Linked DNA regions of Elephas maximus indicus. The protein of the gene in region 1 purifies or fractionates together with the protein of each later gene. This does not show direct contact. Links are inferred from orthologs where the notes say so. Each region holds a gene or a part of one and is shown in the gene's direction. Other genes may lie near its edges.

What was found. Proteins that work in one complex are often made in the same cells at the same time.
Region 2: the proteins of PRMT8 (region 1) and EWSR1 purify together in Homo sapiens (affinity purification with mass spectrometry; 3 studies listed by BioGRID and IntAct, counting the BioPlex papers as one, with this or other methods). This does not show direct contact. The link is inferred for Elephas maximus indicus from reciprocal best matches to the Homo sapiens genes PRMT8 and EWSR1.

What each region holds. Positions count from the first base shown.
Region 1 is NC_064822.1:59,824,302-59,831,426, forward strand, and holds the start of PRMT8 (protein arginine N-methyltransferase 8), read left to right. Parts: upstream 1-4,115; 5' UTR 4,116-4,288; coding exon 4,289-4,363; intron 4,364-7,125. UniProt on the Homo sapiens protein: S-adenosyl-L-methionine-dependent and membrane-associated arginine methyltransferase that can both catalyze the formation of omega-N monomethylarginine (MMA) and asymmetrical dimethylarginine (aDMA) in proteins such as NIFK, myelin basic protein, histone H4, H2A and H2A/H2B dimer.
Region 2 is NC_064840.1:27,302,436-27,309,491, reverse strand, and holds the start of EWSR1 (RNA-binding protein EWS), read left to right. Parts: upstream 1-4,039; 5' UTR 4,040-4,087; coding exon 4,088-4,100; intron 4,101-7,056. Other genes in the region: RHBDD3 (rhomboid domain-containing protein 3), read right to left, coding at 1,252-1,399. UniProt on the Homo sapiens protein: Binds to ssRNA containing the consensus sequence 5'-AGGUAA-3'. Might normally function as a transcriptional repressor. EWS-fusion-proteins (EFPS) may play a role in the tumorigenic process.

The sequences.
Region 1 (7,125 bases):
CTTTCTATAATGTGGGGGTTCTTGTAGTTTGGGGGGTCCTTTCTGTAACTTGGAGCCCTGGTGACTCAGTGGTTAAGAGCTCAGCTGCTAACCAAAAGTTGGCAGTTTGAATCTACCAGCTGCTCCTTGGAAACCCTAAGGGGCAGTTCTACCCTGTCCTATAGGGTCATTAGGAGTCAGCATCAACTCAATGGCAACAGGTTTTGGTTTTTTCTGTAACTTAGGAATCTTCTTTCTCTGTAGATGTTTTTCTTTCCTCCAGATATCCTTATTCAATTATTCTCAAACATGACCGCCCATTGGAATAACTCAGGGATTAAAAAAAAAAAAAAAAATCCTGGTATCCAGGTTTCACTAAATCACACTCTCCAGGGGTGAAACCAAAGCATTGGTATTTTTAAAGCTCCCCAGATGATTCCCCCCGTGTGGCCAAGGCTGAGAAGCACTGCCTTATTCTTTGAACCTGGTTAACTTCTTGAGGATCATGCTGTGGAATCAGACATCTTACATCTGAATCCTGACTCTACCACTTGTACAATTCTGTTTTTGTTTTCTCACCTGGTTTGTGAAGATAATAACAGTACCTACCTGAAAGAGCTGCTTAAAGGATTAAATGAGAAAACATGTAAATCTAGAAGAGTCTCTGCGTATAATAAGCACTCTTATAAAGTTTACCACAGAGCCTAGCATATTAGTATTACACATTGCCATTGAGTCAATTCCAACTCATAATAACCCTATAGGACAGAGTAGAACTGGCCCATAGAGTTTCCAAGGAGCGCCTGGTGGATTTGAACTGCCAACCTTTTGGTCAGCAGCTATAGTACTTAACCACTATGCCACCAGGGTTTCTGAGCTTAGCATAGGGCTGAGCAAATAGTAACACAACATTTGTGCCCTTACAATGACCCAGGTTTTGTTCTAAGCACTTTACATGTACTGTTCAATGTATTTTGTTGAGTTGAAGATTTAGTCTAAGGAAAATGACATATGAAAAATATGTCATCAGGGTGTTTTTACCTGGTATGACTATTGACCAAACTACCCATTTAACTCACACCCTGATGAACTCCTTGTAGCCTCTGTCATTCCATATGCCTTCTTGACATCTATCAAACTCTCTTAAAAAGCACTTCTACAAAAGTTCCGTACATTTCAAAGTATCTAAGGTAACTTAAGGTGACTATTTCAGAGCTCATCAATGGTCAATCTTTTGTTGCCTCTTGTCAAACCTAGTGCTTACTAATGAGCTAGGTACGTAAGAGATACCCAGTAAATCCTTCGTGCAGTGACTGAAATAATCTGATATGAGACTATGCTAATATATATATATGCAAAAGAGGTAGAGAAAAACTGAATTTCAGCGAACGGGGATGTTGAGATAACAGCACTATAAAATACCTACTATGCGCTAGGCACTTTTCATGCATCATGAATTTTCACAACAACCCTATAAGGTGGGTATTCAGGTAAATCTCTTGCTTTGTAACAAGTCACCCTAACCCTTAGTCTCTTTTGAGTTATTTTGCTTGTGAATCTGTAATTAGTGGAGGCGTAGCAAGGGCAGCTTCTTTCTTCTCTGAGATGGCTCAGTAGGGGATCGGAGTATCCACTTAAAAGATAGCTCACTCATATCCTCCAGCCATTATGGAACCACTCCGGTGGCCTAGGCTTCTCACTCGCAGCTCCAGACTGGATCTGGGTTGGACAGGATAGAACAGAAAACTCTTGTCATGAGAATGCAGTTCTCTATCTCAGCCTCTCCACTCCCCATTCCAAGGGAGCCGTGTCTGTGCTTGGGGAGAAGCCAAAGCCAAGCAAAAGATTTCAACAGAGATCGGAGGAAACACACCCACTGTGGTTCTCATAGCAACATAATCACGCACAGGCAGCAGCCTATTTTGGTGGGAGCTTGTTTCATCTCCCCTCCTCCCTGGTTAGTCACAGAATGGATGCACACGCTGAAGGAGTGTGGGGTTGGGGGACAGTACTAGATGAAGAGCTGGGGAGCTGGTCGCAGATGCTTCATTAGCTTGCTTAGGGACCACAGACACATGTCCTCTCCCTGGCCTCAGGTTCCTTATCTAGAAAATGAGAGGCTTGGGCTAAAGAACTGTGAGGATCCTTTCTGCTCTGATTTTCTTTGATTGTACAAGAACTGAGATTCTTGTTTGGGGATCAGATGTCTCCCAGAATCTTTTGTCTCCAAGAAAAACTTTCAGAGAAAATGGGGTTCAAGAGGGTGAAAGTCATTCTCTAGATTCACCTCATTTATCCTCCTCCCACTTTCTGCACGTTGACAGGACGTGAAGGGGAAGGGGAAAGACCAGACATTGTCAAAGACTCTGCTCACTCACCCCTCCCCCTCCCCCCCTTCACCCCAACCCAGGTCTGTGATCTGAGGAAGGAAAAAGTTAAGGTTATTCTTTCATTTAAATTTACTCCTCCCTAACGCACAATTTTTTTTTAACGCACACACATACACACACACACACACACTTTCATTAACTCAGTCACTCAAGCCTCTTGTCTCCTCCTATTTTCACTCTCCTCACCCTCCAGCCTCTCCTCTCTCCACCACTCACTTTCTACCTCCACACATGGCTAAGTGTCCTCTCTTTCCTCCAGCACCAGGCAATGGTGACATCTTTAGTACTGGCCATGATTCTGGCCCTTTTCTTCAATGGACTCTGGGGTTAGTTAAGGACAATCAGTTTCACACTTCCTGGCTGTCAAAGATGATGATAAAATCAAATAGGACAGGTGGGACTGACCTCTCCAAATAAGTACAGGGATGAAGTGAGGAGAGCCAGGATGCTCAGAGAGTGTCTTTTAGGTCCCTGTCCTTGCCTTGTGGCCAGAAAACTTGAAAGTGCAGCTGTCTGTTTTTGAAAGAGCCAGCCACGGGCTGGGGTCCTGCTCCCCTCCACCCCTTTGTTCTATCTCCCACCCGCCTGACAGATGGCCAGTAAGACAGAGAAAAAGTAGCTCTCAAAGTGAAGACAGTAATGCATTGTATAAAAATTCACACCCCCTGCTGCCGCCCAAACTCCCTTAAAAAAGGATCAAGAGAATCCTAATGGGTACGTGACATCTTTCCTCTCTTCCCATAAAAGGAACTCCAAAATCTGGTGATGATAGGGGAGGGTGAGGAGGGAAAAGAAAACTGTGTGGGCAGGGGGCTGCCTGGACAGACTGGGGTGGAGGGAGCACCACTGCAGGTGGGCACTCAAGAGTCCTCCATTTACCTTTCTCCTACCTTAACCTGAGAGGGGCTTGGAGCTCCCTGTGCCTTGGACAGGGGAGAGTGGGAGAAATGGAATGATACCGATCCTACACTTAGCCCCAGAGTTGAAGGAGTTAATGACCCTCCCCTAGCCAGACACCCACCCCTTCGCTCCCCAAACCGTAATTTGCCAAGGAAGGACCCAGGAATTGGCAGAGGAGAGGGAGAGTTCGGGGTGGGGTGGGGTGGGGTGGGGAGGGGTGGGGGCGAGGTTACAGTGGCCCGGCCTTGCCTAGAGCTCGCCCTCGGTGGGAGGACGCACGCTCGGGTGTAAGGACCTACAGGAAGAGCCTGGCCCCGGCTCCTGCTTTCTCCCAGGCTCTCGCGTGGCCCTGCAGCGCCCGCGCAGTCCTTGCCCCCGCGCAAGTTTTCCATAGCGCCGCTGAGTGGAGACGGCCAAGAGACCCCCGGAGCCTGGGGGAGGGGGGCGGTCCTGGGGGCGCTGGGGCCCTCGGTCTGCGCCCAGCCACCGCCTGCTCTGCCGAACCTCCTACCCCGCCCCCACTCACCCGGCTCAGCCCCTAGGAGAGACGCGCAGGAAGCGTGTTGCTTCGCCCAGCCGATCGGCAGAAGTTGAGAGGAGTTGGTGGCTGCCTCGGGCCGGCCGGACTTTGAGAGCCGCCGAGAGAGGAGAAGCCGCCGCCGCCGCTGCCGCCGCCGCCGCCGCCGCCGCGGAGCCTTGGGGGCCGCCTCGCTCCTGCTTAGCCCGCAGCGCGGGAGGAGAGAGGGGCGGGGAGGGGGTCGGGGTGCGCGAGAAGAACTTGAAAGTGTGTGAAGGAATCCGAAACAGATGAGAAGGGAGGAAAATAAAACAAAGTGGAGACTGCAGAAAAGACTCAACCGTGGTTGATTGTATCGCCTGACGCTCCAGCAGAGGGGCTGGGTTGGGGTGTTTTTTTATTTTATTTTTATTTTTTTTCCCATTCTCTCTCTCTTTTTTAAAGCTACACCAGCTCTCTCTTTCTCTACTATCTCTGTATCACCAAACCCTTGCTGGCTCTTATGGGCATGAAACACTCCTCCCGCTGCCTGCTCCTAAGGAGGAAAATGGCGGAGAACGCTGCCGAGAACACCGAGGTAAGGAGGCGAGAGAGCCGGGGCTCTCCGCGACCCCGGCCGCCCACCCGGGACCACCGCGCGCCGTCGCTGTTGCTGCCGCCGCCGCCACCGCCGCCGCTGCTTAGCACCTAGTGCCAAACTTTCCACCAGCTCCATCCCGCTTGCTTCTGCCGGCCATGTGTGTGTGAGTGTGTGTGTGTGAGTGTGTGTGTGTGTGTGTTGGGGGGGAGACAGTGCATGTCTTAGGTCTCCTCCCTCTTGCAAATGCAAGAGTCGCTCTCGCCCCATCACCCTCTCCTGCCACCCGCTCCTTGCTTCTCCTTTCCCCCCAAGTCCCAAATCCTGGGCAGCCGCGCTCTCTGCCCTCTCCTCTGGGCTCCTTAGGGCTCCCGGGTCCCGGCTTTGTGCAAAGCTGGGGTGAGTGATCCTGGGGCCAGGTCTGCTCCCTGCAGTACCTTGACCGTCTCCTGCCGCTGTCTCAGTTTTACCCTTCAAGCTCCAGTCAGTCCCCGAGCTTTCGGTTCCCGCAGCAAGGCGGAGAGCTCCCAGTTACGGGGGCCGAGCCGAGCCGGGGGTAGGACTTGGGCACCACCAGCAGATCCTTCCCGCCCAGATCCGGGCCGGGGAGAAGTCTGCAATCCTTGGATGTTAGAGCCGCCTGGGGCGCACGGGCCGCTGCCACCTTCAGCACCAGGGACAGCACCCTTCCCTGCAGCAGCCAAGCCAGCGCAGGGAGTGGGGGCTGCGAGCCATCCACTGCAGGCAGAAATGGGTCTGCAACCACTGGTCCCACAGCAGCTATTGAGGAGGTGGCAGTAGCTCCGCAAATTGCGCTCTTGCCCCTGGACTTTGACAGTCCAATAGCTGTCGGTTCTCTACTCTTGAATTGGCCCCCAGCCTCAGAGCCCTGCTGGACTTTGCGCCCCGAGAATCAGGGTCGTGTGCCTTCGCCTTGCACTGACCCCGCTGTCATTACAACTGGACTAGTCCGTAGGCTCTGGGCACCTGTAGTCATGAAGGGGATCAGCGTGGGCAGCCCCCTTACCTTCCTGGAGAAACGGTGCGCCGAGGTGGGGGCAGAGTGGGGCATGTGTGTGAAGATCATCCCTTACTCGGTGGCAGAAAAAAGACAGAGAGCAAACTCCCGGGCTCTATTAATAGCCGGGTGTCTGGTGGGGCTGCCGTACATTTTACATACGGTTACCCATATGCAGCGTGGGGCGGGGATGGGGGTGTGGCGCGGGGATTCTCCCTCTGTCTTGCCAGAATGCAAAAAGGTGCAGAGACCCTTCCCATCTTTCTTTCCTCGTGGTCTTAACCCTGCGGCTAACCCCTACCCCACATGGGAGGCAGCAAAGCTTAAAAAAAAAAAAAAAAAACTCAGTCTAGAAGCAGCGTGCATCTGGCAACTGTCGATTTCGAAATAAACACGCTCTGGGGCTTGAGAGCAGTGGGGCATTCAGTACCTAATGCCGTCTCCTTGAGTTTGGGCACAGCCGGCGTGCGTGCAGTTCTCTCGCCACTTCCTCTTCCCCACCCCCGCCTAAGAGCAGACAGAAAGATGGTTAGTGCAAGGTGCAAAGTGCACGGGCGAAAGCCAACCTTACCGATACCCTCGCTCTCCGCCCTCTGTAGCGCACAAGCTAAAGAGGTTTCTAAAAATAGCTCAGAGTCAAGACTGCACTTCTATAAAGTGTTGGGCAAGCAGGCTCGTAGCAGTTCCTGCAGGCAGGTGGCTGGAGCCCTGGAAGAGAGAAAGAGTCTTCCCACCCCACCCTGCGCTCTATTTCTGAAAAAAAAAAAAAAAGGTTTTCATGGGTCTCTAGTCTGGGAACCCACCGCAATTGCATGGGGTCTGTGTGCAGACCTTCCCAGGTTCCGCAGTGTGCGGCGGCAGCGGCTTCGCTCCCCACCTGGGCCAGGGTTAAAGACGTCGGGGGCAGGCAGAGCGGCTCGTGCCAGGATATTTTTACTTGCTTCCCCCGCGGCTCGGCGCTCCCCCTTTTCAGCAGTTGCACATGCCAGCTCTGCTCAAGGCATCAATGAAGACAGCAGTAGAGGCGACCGAGCTCCTGTGAGCAAAAAAAAAAACCACTCCGCATGCCTGGTACAAAGGCTGCGGGGGAGGGGGTAGACCCAGCTGGGGCTCCTTGACGGGGACTGAGTTTGGGGGCTCAGTTATTAGCAACTTCCCTTGAGAGCCATGCCCAACAGAAGCATCCAGGCAGCGTGACACTCACTTGGTTTCTCTCCAGGAACCGGCTGTTTTTGGAATAAAACAGCACTAGAGCAGTATTTCCAAAGGGGAGGGGGTATTGTGAGCTAGCCTGCATTTATGGTGGGAGAGAGAGCCAAGGGCGCCTGTGTGTGTATTGGGGGAGGGCTTTGGTGATGGTGGTAGGAGTCCTTGTTCTTAATTCAACACGCCTTTATTAAGCACCAACTCTGTACCAGGAACAATTAGGTACCAGAGATCCAACCATGAGAAAGACCCTGTCTCTGCCTTCAGGGAGCTCACATGGTGTCACATAATCCTGATAACCGATATTTCCCTGACTTTGGGTGCTGTTATTTGCAAGCTCTTTTGTCGCATTTCATCCTCAAAATAATCCTGTGAGATAAGCAAAGGTTAGTATTCACTTTTTTTTTATCCCCATTTTATAGGTGAGAACACTGAGGCTGAGAGGTACAGCAATTTCTGAAAATCACCTGGTCTGTTAATGATCAAGTCAGGTTTGCAACACAGATGCCCCCACTTCAGATTCATTACTCTTTGCCCT
Region 2 (7,056 bases), on another chromosome or scaffold:
AATGCCAGGAGCCATCTGGATCTCTACCCTCACCCCTTGGCCACCCCATCCATTCTAGGCTTCGAATGCCACAGATACATTGACGCCTTCTGAATTTCTGCCTCCGACCCAGACATCCAACTCACACCCAAAAGCCAGTTCGCTCTCTGCCTCAGGGGTGTCTAATCGGCCTGTCACACTTCACATGTCCAGAACCAAACTCTCTATTCTCCAGAAAACCTGCTCCCTCCAGGCTCCTTCCAGTTGCTCAGGCCCCAACATTCAAACCAGCTTCCAAGCCCGTCAGCTCTGTCCTCGAAATGTACCTGAAAAGTCACCCTGTCCCATGGCCATCCCTGCCTCGCAGTCCAGGCCATCATCTCGTACCAGGATCTTTGCTGTGACCTCCTCACCGGGCTCCTGGCTTCCACCCCTAACCCCCTTCAGTCTATTCCCCAGCCAGGGGGTAGGGCAGTGAGGGGCTATCAAAACCCAAGTCGGATCATGTCACTGCTCTGCTCACAGCCCTCCAAGGCCCCCACCGCACTCAAAGCCAAAGTCCTCAAGACCCTACATCCCCCCAGTCACTCTACTCCCACTATTCTGGCCTCCTTGCAGCCCCACAAGGACACCAACATTCTCTGACCGCAGGGCCTTTACTCTGCTGTCCCCCCGCCTAGAATGCTCTTCCTGGGATCTCTGTATGGCCAGCAGGCGCCCTCAGTCTCTGCAGGGCTCTGCCCCATGTCACCCTCTCACAAAGACCCTCCAGAACCACCCTATCACTCTCTACCCCCTACTCTGGTCACCTGCTTCTCAGCGCGTATCACAAAGACCCTCCAGAACCACCCTATCACTCTCTACCCCCCACTCTGGTCACCTGCTTCTCAGCGCGTATCAGTACCTGACCTACTAGGCAGTCACTTTTTCATGGGTCTCCCCTTCCAGATCGACAGCACCGTGAGAGCAAGGCCTTTGTTTTGTTCGTTGTTGCATCCCCTTCACTGAGAACCATGTGTAATATGTAGTAGGTACTTGATGAATATTTATTGAATGAATGAATGGATGGATAGGTGCTTATCAAATTGTTTTGTGTAATACAGTCACTCGGGAATCTGCTTGAGCAACTCCATCCAACTGTGTTCAATAAAAGAGTAACTGCTAATATGACCCCTAGTTTGCAGGTGACGAAACAGGCCCAGAGAAGGCAAGTGACTGGTCTCGGCCCCACTGCAAGTCTCCTGCCTCCTCCAAGCCCCACGTGGCCCTCACCCTGCCAGGGTTCCAGCAGCAGTTCCGGGACCAGGGTGAGGCTGGGGCCGGCCCCGACCAGCCACAGGCCACTCATCAGCAGCATCAAAGTGGAAGAGGTGAGAGGCAGGGCCGGGGACAGTGGGCCAGGGGGGCCCCTGGCATGCATGTTGAGAGTGGTCAAGAGTGGTCCTGGGGCTGTGTGCTGAGGGTAAAGGAGAATAATAGCAATGGTTACTGTCACAGCCTTTATTTCATTGACTCCCTCTCACCCACCCTGCCAACAACAGCCCCATTTTACAGAAGTGGAAACTGAGGCTGAAGAGGCAAGCCAAGCAGCTTAGCCATGGCAGAGCTTGGACCCTAACCCATGTGCTTAGCCATTCTACCATCCTGCCTGTCCATGTGTAAGGATGGCAGGGGCCAGGCCCAAAGGGCCCTGAGCCCTGATGGCCCCGAAAAAGGGTCTGGGGGTGGGAGGCATAGGCCTAGGGAAGTTGAATTGGGGCCCTGGGCTCCCAGAAAGAGGGGTGCAGTGCCCCAGAGCAAATTCAGAACCATCTCCAGCCCTCCTCTGGCCTCCCTTCCCTCAGGCCAGCTCCCTAGTTGGCCAGCTCCCTTCCTCCCTTCCACTGTGCCCAGCCTTTGAGCTCCAGGCCATCTGGCCCAGCCAGGCTGACCTAGGATGCCCTTGACAGAGGCAGGAGTTGCAAGGAAGAGTCTGCAAAATGGGCCAGCCAATAGACAAACGGATTGGGGAGGGGGTGGGGCAGGGGGCTGGAGGAGGGGCAACAGGAGTCACCTTCCCATTCACACATACAAAGTGCCAGTGGTCAGAGCCACCCACTCTCTTCTTACCTGGGCCCTATCACCACCCCTCTTGTCCAACCCCCGCGCCCCCCCCCCCCCCCGGAGATTTCCTGCTCTGCCTCTTCCTGCTGCATGTCCCTGGGCAAGCTTCCCAACCTCTGAGCCTCTCCTTCCTCATCTGTAAAATGGGGATTAAGAAAACCTTTTCCTCACAAGATGATAAGAAGGTATGGGCTAAGGCAGGGCCTGGTCTGCAGCTCCTACTCAATAAACCATGGCCATCCCCGCTAATTGTGGAAGGCAGATATAGACACCAACAGACTCCCTGTTCTGGCCTGGCTGGTCTTAGCCCTGGCCCTCAACCATGTCCATTCCCTGCCTCCACAAGGCAAGACTTTCTCTCCCCTGTTCTCCCCTCTGCTACCCAGCTTGTCATACAGGCTGGGCCTCCAGTCTCCCATAGGGCAGGAAGTAGGACCCCAGAGAGACAAGAAGGCTGCCTCATCTGCTCCCTTGCCGAGGGCAACCTTAGCATCAAAACCCACTTGCCAGTTTCCAGTAGGAAAAATGTAGAAAGCTCCCCTGCCTGCAGTGTCCTTCCCTCCATCCTCCAACAGGCAAACTCCTATTTACCCTTTGAAACCCAGCTCAAATGTCTCCTTTGGCCCTTCCTCTTACCAACAGATTTTATCCTTTATTACAAGCTCAGCTTAGCCTGTCTGTCTTCTAAGGCAGGTGGTTTGAGCTCATGGAAGGGCTTCTCTTACTCATCCCCAAGCTTCCCAGGGTGTTCCTAGCACACAGCAGGTGCATAGTGTGCTTGCTGAAAGACACTAGCTTGGCTCTGGTTCCACCGAGGGATTTGGGGTGAGCCCAGCCCCCCACTGTGCTGAGCCATTGCTGAGGTCCCTTCTAGGAAGGCCTGCAGGTACCAGCTTTGCCACGAGGCTGGGTCTGCAGCCAAAGGTCCACTGCAAGCCTCTTCCTGCACCCTCACAACTACTCCCTCCCAAGGCACTGTAGGGAGCGTGAAGGACCTGCCTACCCAAGGACACCCAGAACTAGGACTTGAACCCTCTGGGCCTCAGTTTCTTCATCTACAAAATGGGGTGGTGCACCATCAGGCCCTGTGTACCTTACTGGGAAACTAGAAAGATAGAATGGGAAGACAAAGGCAGGGGAGCTTCTTCCCGGGTGGTGAAAAGTTGGGGGGATCTCTGGGTCTGGGTCGGACTCAGCTTTGTGACTTTGGGCAAAGTACCCAACCTCCTTGGACCTCAGTTTCCCCTGCTGTAAAAACCAGGTTATTGGATAACAGGTGATTAATGAGCCTTCTCAACCTCGACCGTTATGGGGCAGGGGGAGGGGGTTCTCGGAGCCGGGCGCAGCGTTCGGGACCTCCCACCCTACTGACCGGCCTCGGCCCCCTCCCCCGCCGCGGGGCCACGTGTCTGAGGTACTCACTGCGAGTGCGGCCCCCCCACCCCCGGGAGGCCGAGCGCGACCCCAGTTGGCAGTCGGGCCTTTAACCCCCCACCGAGGCCCAGACTCCCGAGCCTAATCCGCACACACGCGGGCGCGTGACCCCGACCGGCCGCTGCGCTGCCCCTTCCCCGCTGCCTGCCGATTAGTCAGCAGTTGTTCTAGGCCCCGGTCCCTTCCCCCAGCCCTCCCGCCGGCCTCCGTTTCCTCCAGGGTAGACTCTTCAGAGACGGTCCCTAGAGCCAGCGGACGTAACCATTACTAACAGCCTGGCTTCTTGAGAATCTTTCGGTTTGACACTGAGACCCACTCACCGGCCGCTCTAGCCCCTTCGGTGCTATTTTGTCCGCGCGTCTTCGCAGCCAGCACCCTTTAGAGAGGATTGGGACAAGAGTTGCGGGCGCAAACGACGAGAAAGTGATGGTTCATCCCTCCTTATCCCACCCCCGTGGCCTGGCCCGATGGTAGCGCCCGAGGTTGCGGACCTCGCGCCTGCGCAGTGCGGGGCCTAGGGGGAAAGCGAGAGGGAGACGGACGTTGAGAGAACGAGGAGGAAGGAGAGAAAATGGCGTCCACGGGTGAGTGTGGTGGAACCGCGGTCGCGGTGGCGACGGTTGGGACGCCCAAACGGGGGACCGCTCATCTCTGGGGGCAACCGGGGCGACCGAGTGGAGCTGTGGAGAGGGGTTTGAGGTACTCTTCACGGCCGGATGGGCTCGGGTGCCCGCGCTCCGCTCCTCTCCCCTCCCCCCACCGGGCAGGCCGGTTCTGGAACCTTCCGGCGCTCCTGGCGCGTGGGGAGCTCGCGGCGGCGCGCGGCTGCGGGGGCGCGCGAGACCCGCCGAGGCCTCCATTGTGTGGCGGTAGTCGGGCCCCGCGCGCCGGGCCGCCCGCCACGTGGGCGGGGCCTGCGGCCTCCTGGCTCCGCGTGGGGGAGGGGGGCTTGGCCGGGCCTAGAGCGGGGAGCCCCGAAACCCGGGCCGCGGGGGTGACTGCCCCGGCCCTCTGCCACTGTGACTGATTCCCGCTTCTCTTCCCGGGAGGCGGCCCGAGCCTGAGGGGCGATTCTTCTCCTCGGAGAGGCCCGGGGAAAAAAAGCAAACAGACAAAAAAGGCTTCCCGGATTTGCGAGCCGAGGGGCGCCGGCCTCTCGTTTGGCCTATGGGCTGGAGCCCCGTCATCCTCGATCTCCGGGCGGCTGGAGGCGTCCAGCGCCGCCGACCAGCTCCTCCGCGGGCTGCAGGCCGAACTTCGGCCGCACTGGGCTGTGGACGGAATGCCCCTCAGCCCCATTCAGAGCCTCCAAGCCTCTGCTCCCTCCCTTCTTCATTTTCATCGTTTTTTTGTAACTTCCCCACCTCTCCTCCCTAAAAGCGGTAAGTCGCTTCCCTGGGCCCTTTTTCAGCCAACGCCGAGGGAGAACCGTTGTATAATAAGGCCTGCCTGGATCACGAGGCCAGAGATCTTCCTATGAGAAATTTCTGGCCTCTTTGACCTAAAAGGAACAAAAGACCCGAGCCGGCATTTGAATTCTCCTTAAGCAGTCATAGGGGCGACAGGCGTGTTTCAGTCGTGGGCTGATAGAGGAGAGGGAAGGTAGACGCACCGAGGCCTTTGAAAGCAAGCCCAGCGTGGGAACTCCAGGATGTGGTGAATGAGGTGGTCTCTGCTGCACGGAGTATTTCCCAGAGAGTGTCGTCTTCAGATCACCTGCAGTTGGCAGCCTCTTCGTGCACTCACCGGCGGTTGGTTGGTGGCACGGGCCAGCACTTTTGCGTCTGGGGGGATTCTCAGGCGGCCTGCCTTCTAGAGGCAGTGGGAGGAGATGAGAGGGAAAGACAGGAAAAGCTGTGGGTCTTCTCGCGTTTAAGTTTGAGGAGAGTCCGGGATCCAGCAACTTAAGGATGTGTTTCTGGCGCTGCCCCACTTTGTGATTAGTAACCAGGTGACTAGTGTTGCTGTAGGTGCCCCCAGAGGAGGACTCCGAAATGCCATAGTACAGATAGCCTTTCCACCCTCCCTCCCCTTCCTTGCAGTTTGAATTTTGTAAGGGCAACAACGGCTTTAGCCTTAGGAGCCAGCGTGGCTGGATATGTTACTTCTTCAGTTTTGCTCAAATCCTGTTGTTATTCACGTTGTACTGTATTAGAATTACAGTAATGGTTTATGCAGATACATGCAATATTAGACTGAGCTTTATTCACGTTGTACTGTATTAGAATTACGGTAGTGGTTTATGCAGGTACATAAAATATTAGACTGGGCTGGGGGGGTCTTGGGGGAGTCATGTAATTTACCTCAACCTTGGTTTCCTTTCCTGCAAAATGAGGGTGTTAGGCTAGATCTTTAAAGGGCTTTTTGAGCCCTTAACTGCTGACCTTACAGCAAAGCGTATTGCCTACCACAGAGTTGCCTTATATTGACTATAACTTATTATGTAGTCTGAATATTTGAATCTCTCCAGTTTGGATAATAACTCCCTAAAGTATTGTTTAGCTACTGTCTTGAGTAATCTTAGATGTTCCCCCATGTATATGGTATATAGAAAAGTACCCAAACATATGTCCAGTTTAACGAAGAATTAAACACAAACTCCCAGATCAAGAAATAGAACATTGCCAGCACTCTAACTCCCTGGATCACAGTCGCTTTCCCCTTCCCAGCCGGTCCTGTATTTTTAGTGAAGTCTTCAGCTGCACATTTGGGGATTAAAAACAAAATACACCTGCTTGCTAAAGAATCTGACCAGGGTGTAAGTGTAGCAAGCATATTTGAGGTCATACAGTTCTGTGTGTGGTAGATGAAACAGTAGTTCTCATGAAGCATGCTAGCTGCCTCACTAGTATGGGGCTAAATCCTCTAGTTTCACACTGATCTGAGATCATTTGTTCCCTATCAGCTTTGCCAGTTTTATGTTTTACATAACTGCTGTTGTGTAAAAGGTCTCTTACAAACGTTGAATTTACGTATCAGCGATTTAAAATAATTTCTAACGTAGAAAAATTAGCAAAATGTGAAGTGAAATATTTTAGATGCTTCGTTGGTGATATGTTTATTTTGTGAATGCCACGTGGAAGTTGTTCACATTTACTTTTTCATGTCCCATAAAGAGTGTGATTTGTGCTATTGCAAATGCCTTAAGGTTGTCTTAACAAAGCAATGTATTATCGATAGCCTTTGGGCATTTGATTTGATTTTGATGATTTAGGGTTCAGAGTTAAGGGCATACAGAAAGTGGCTAAGTGAAGCATGGAGAGATAGAAAGATAAGCCAACTTAAAGAGATGGGTTTAGCAAAATGTTGACAGGGCTGTGAGGTCAGCTTTGGATAGAGTAGGGTAGAACCACTCGGTGAAGAACTGAAATATAAACTATTGTTTTTGGATGAGGGACTACTTTCTGATTAGAAAAGGACCTTTTTGTTCAGTTCTAATGGCAGTACTATCTTCAAACACAGAATAAAACAGTAGAGAGGAAAGATGAAAGAATTGGGCAGAATTTTTAAAAAATAACAGCTCTTTTTTTAAAATAAACT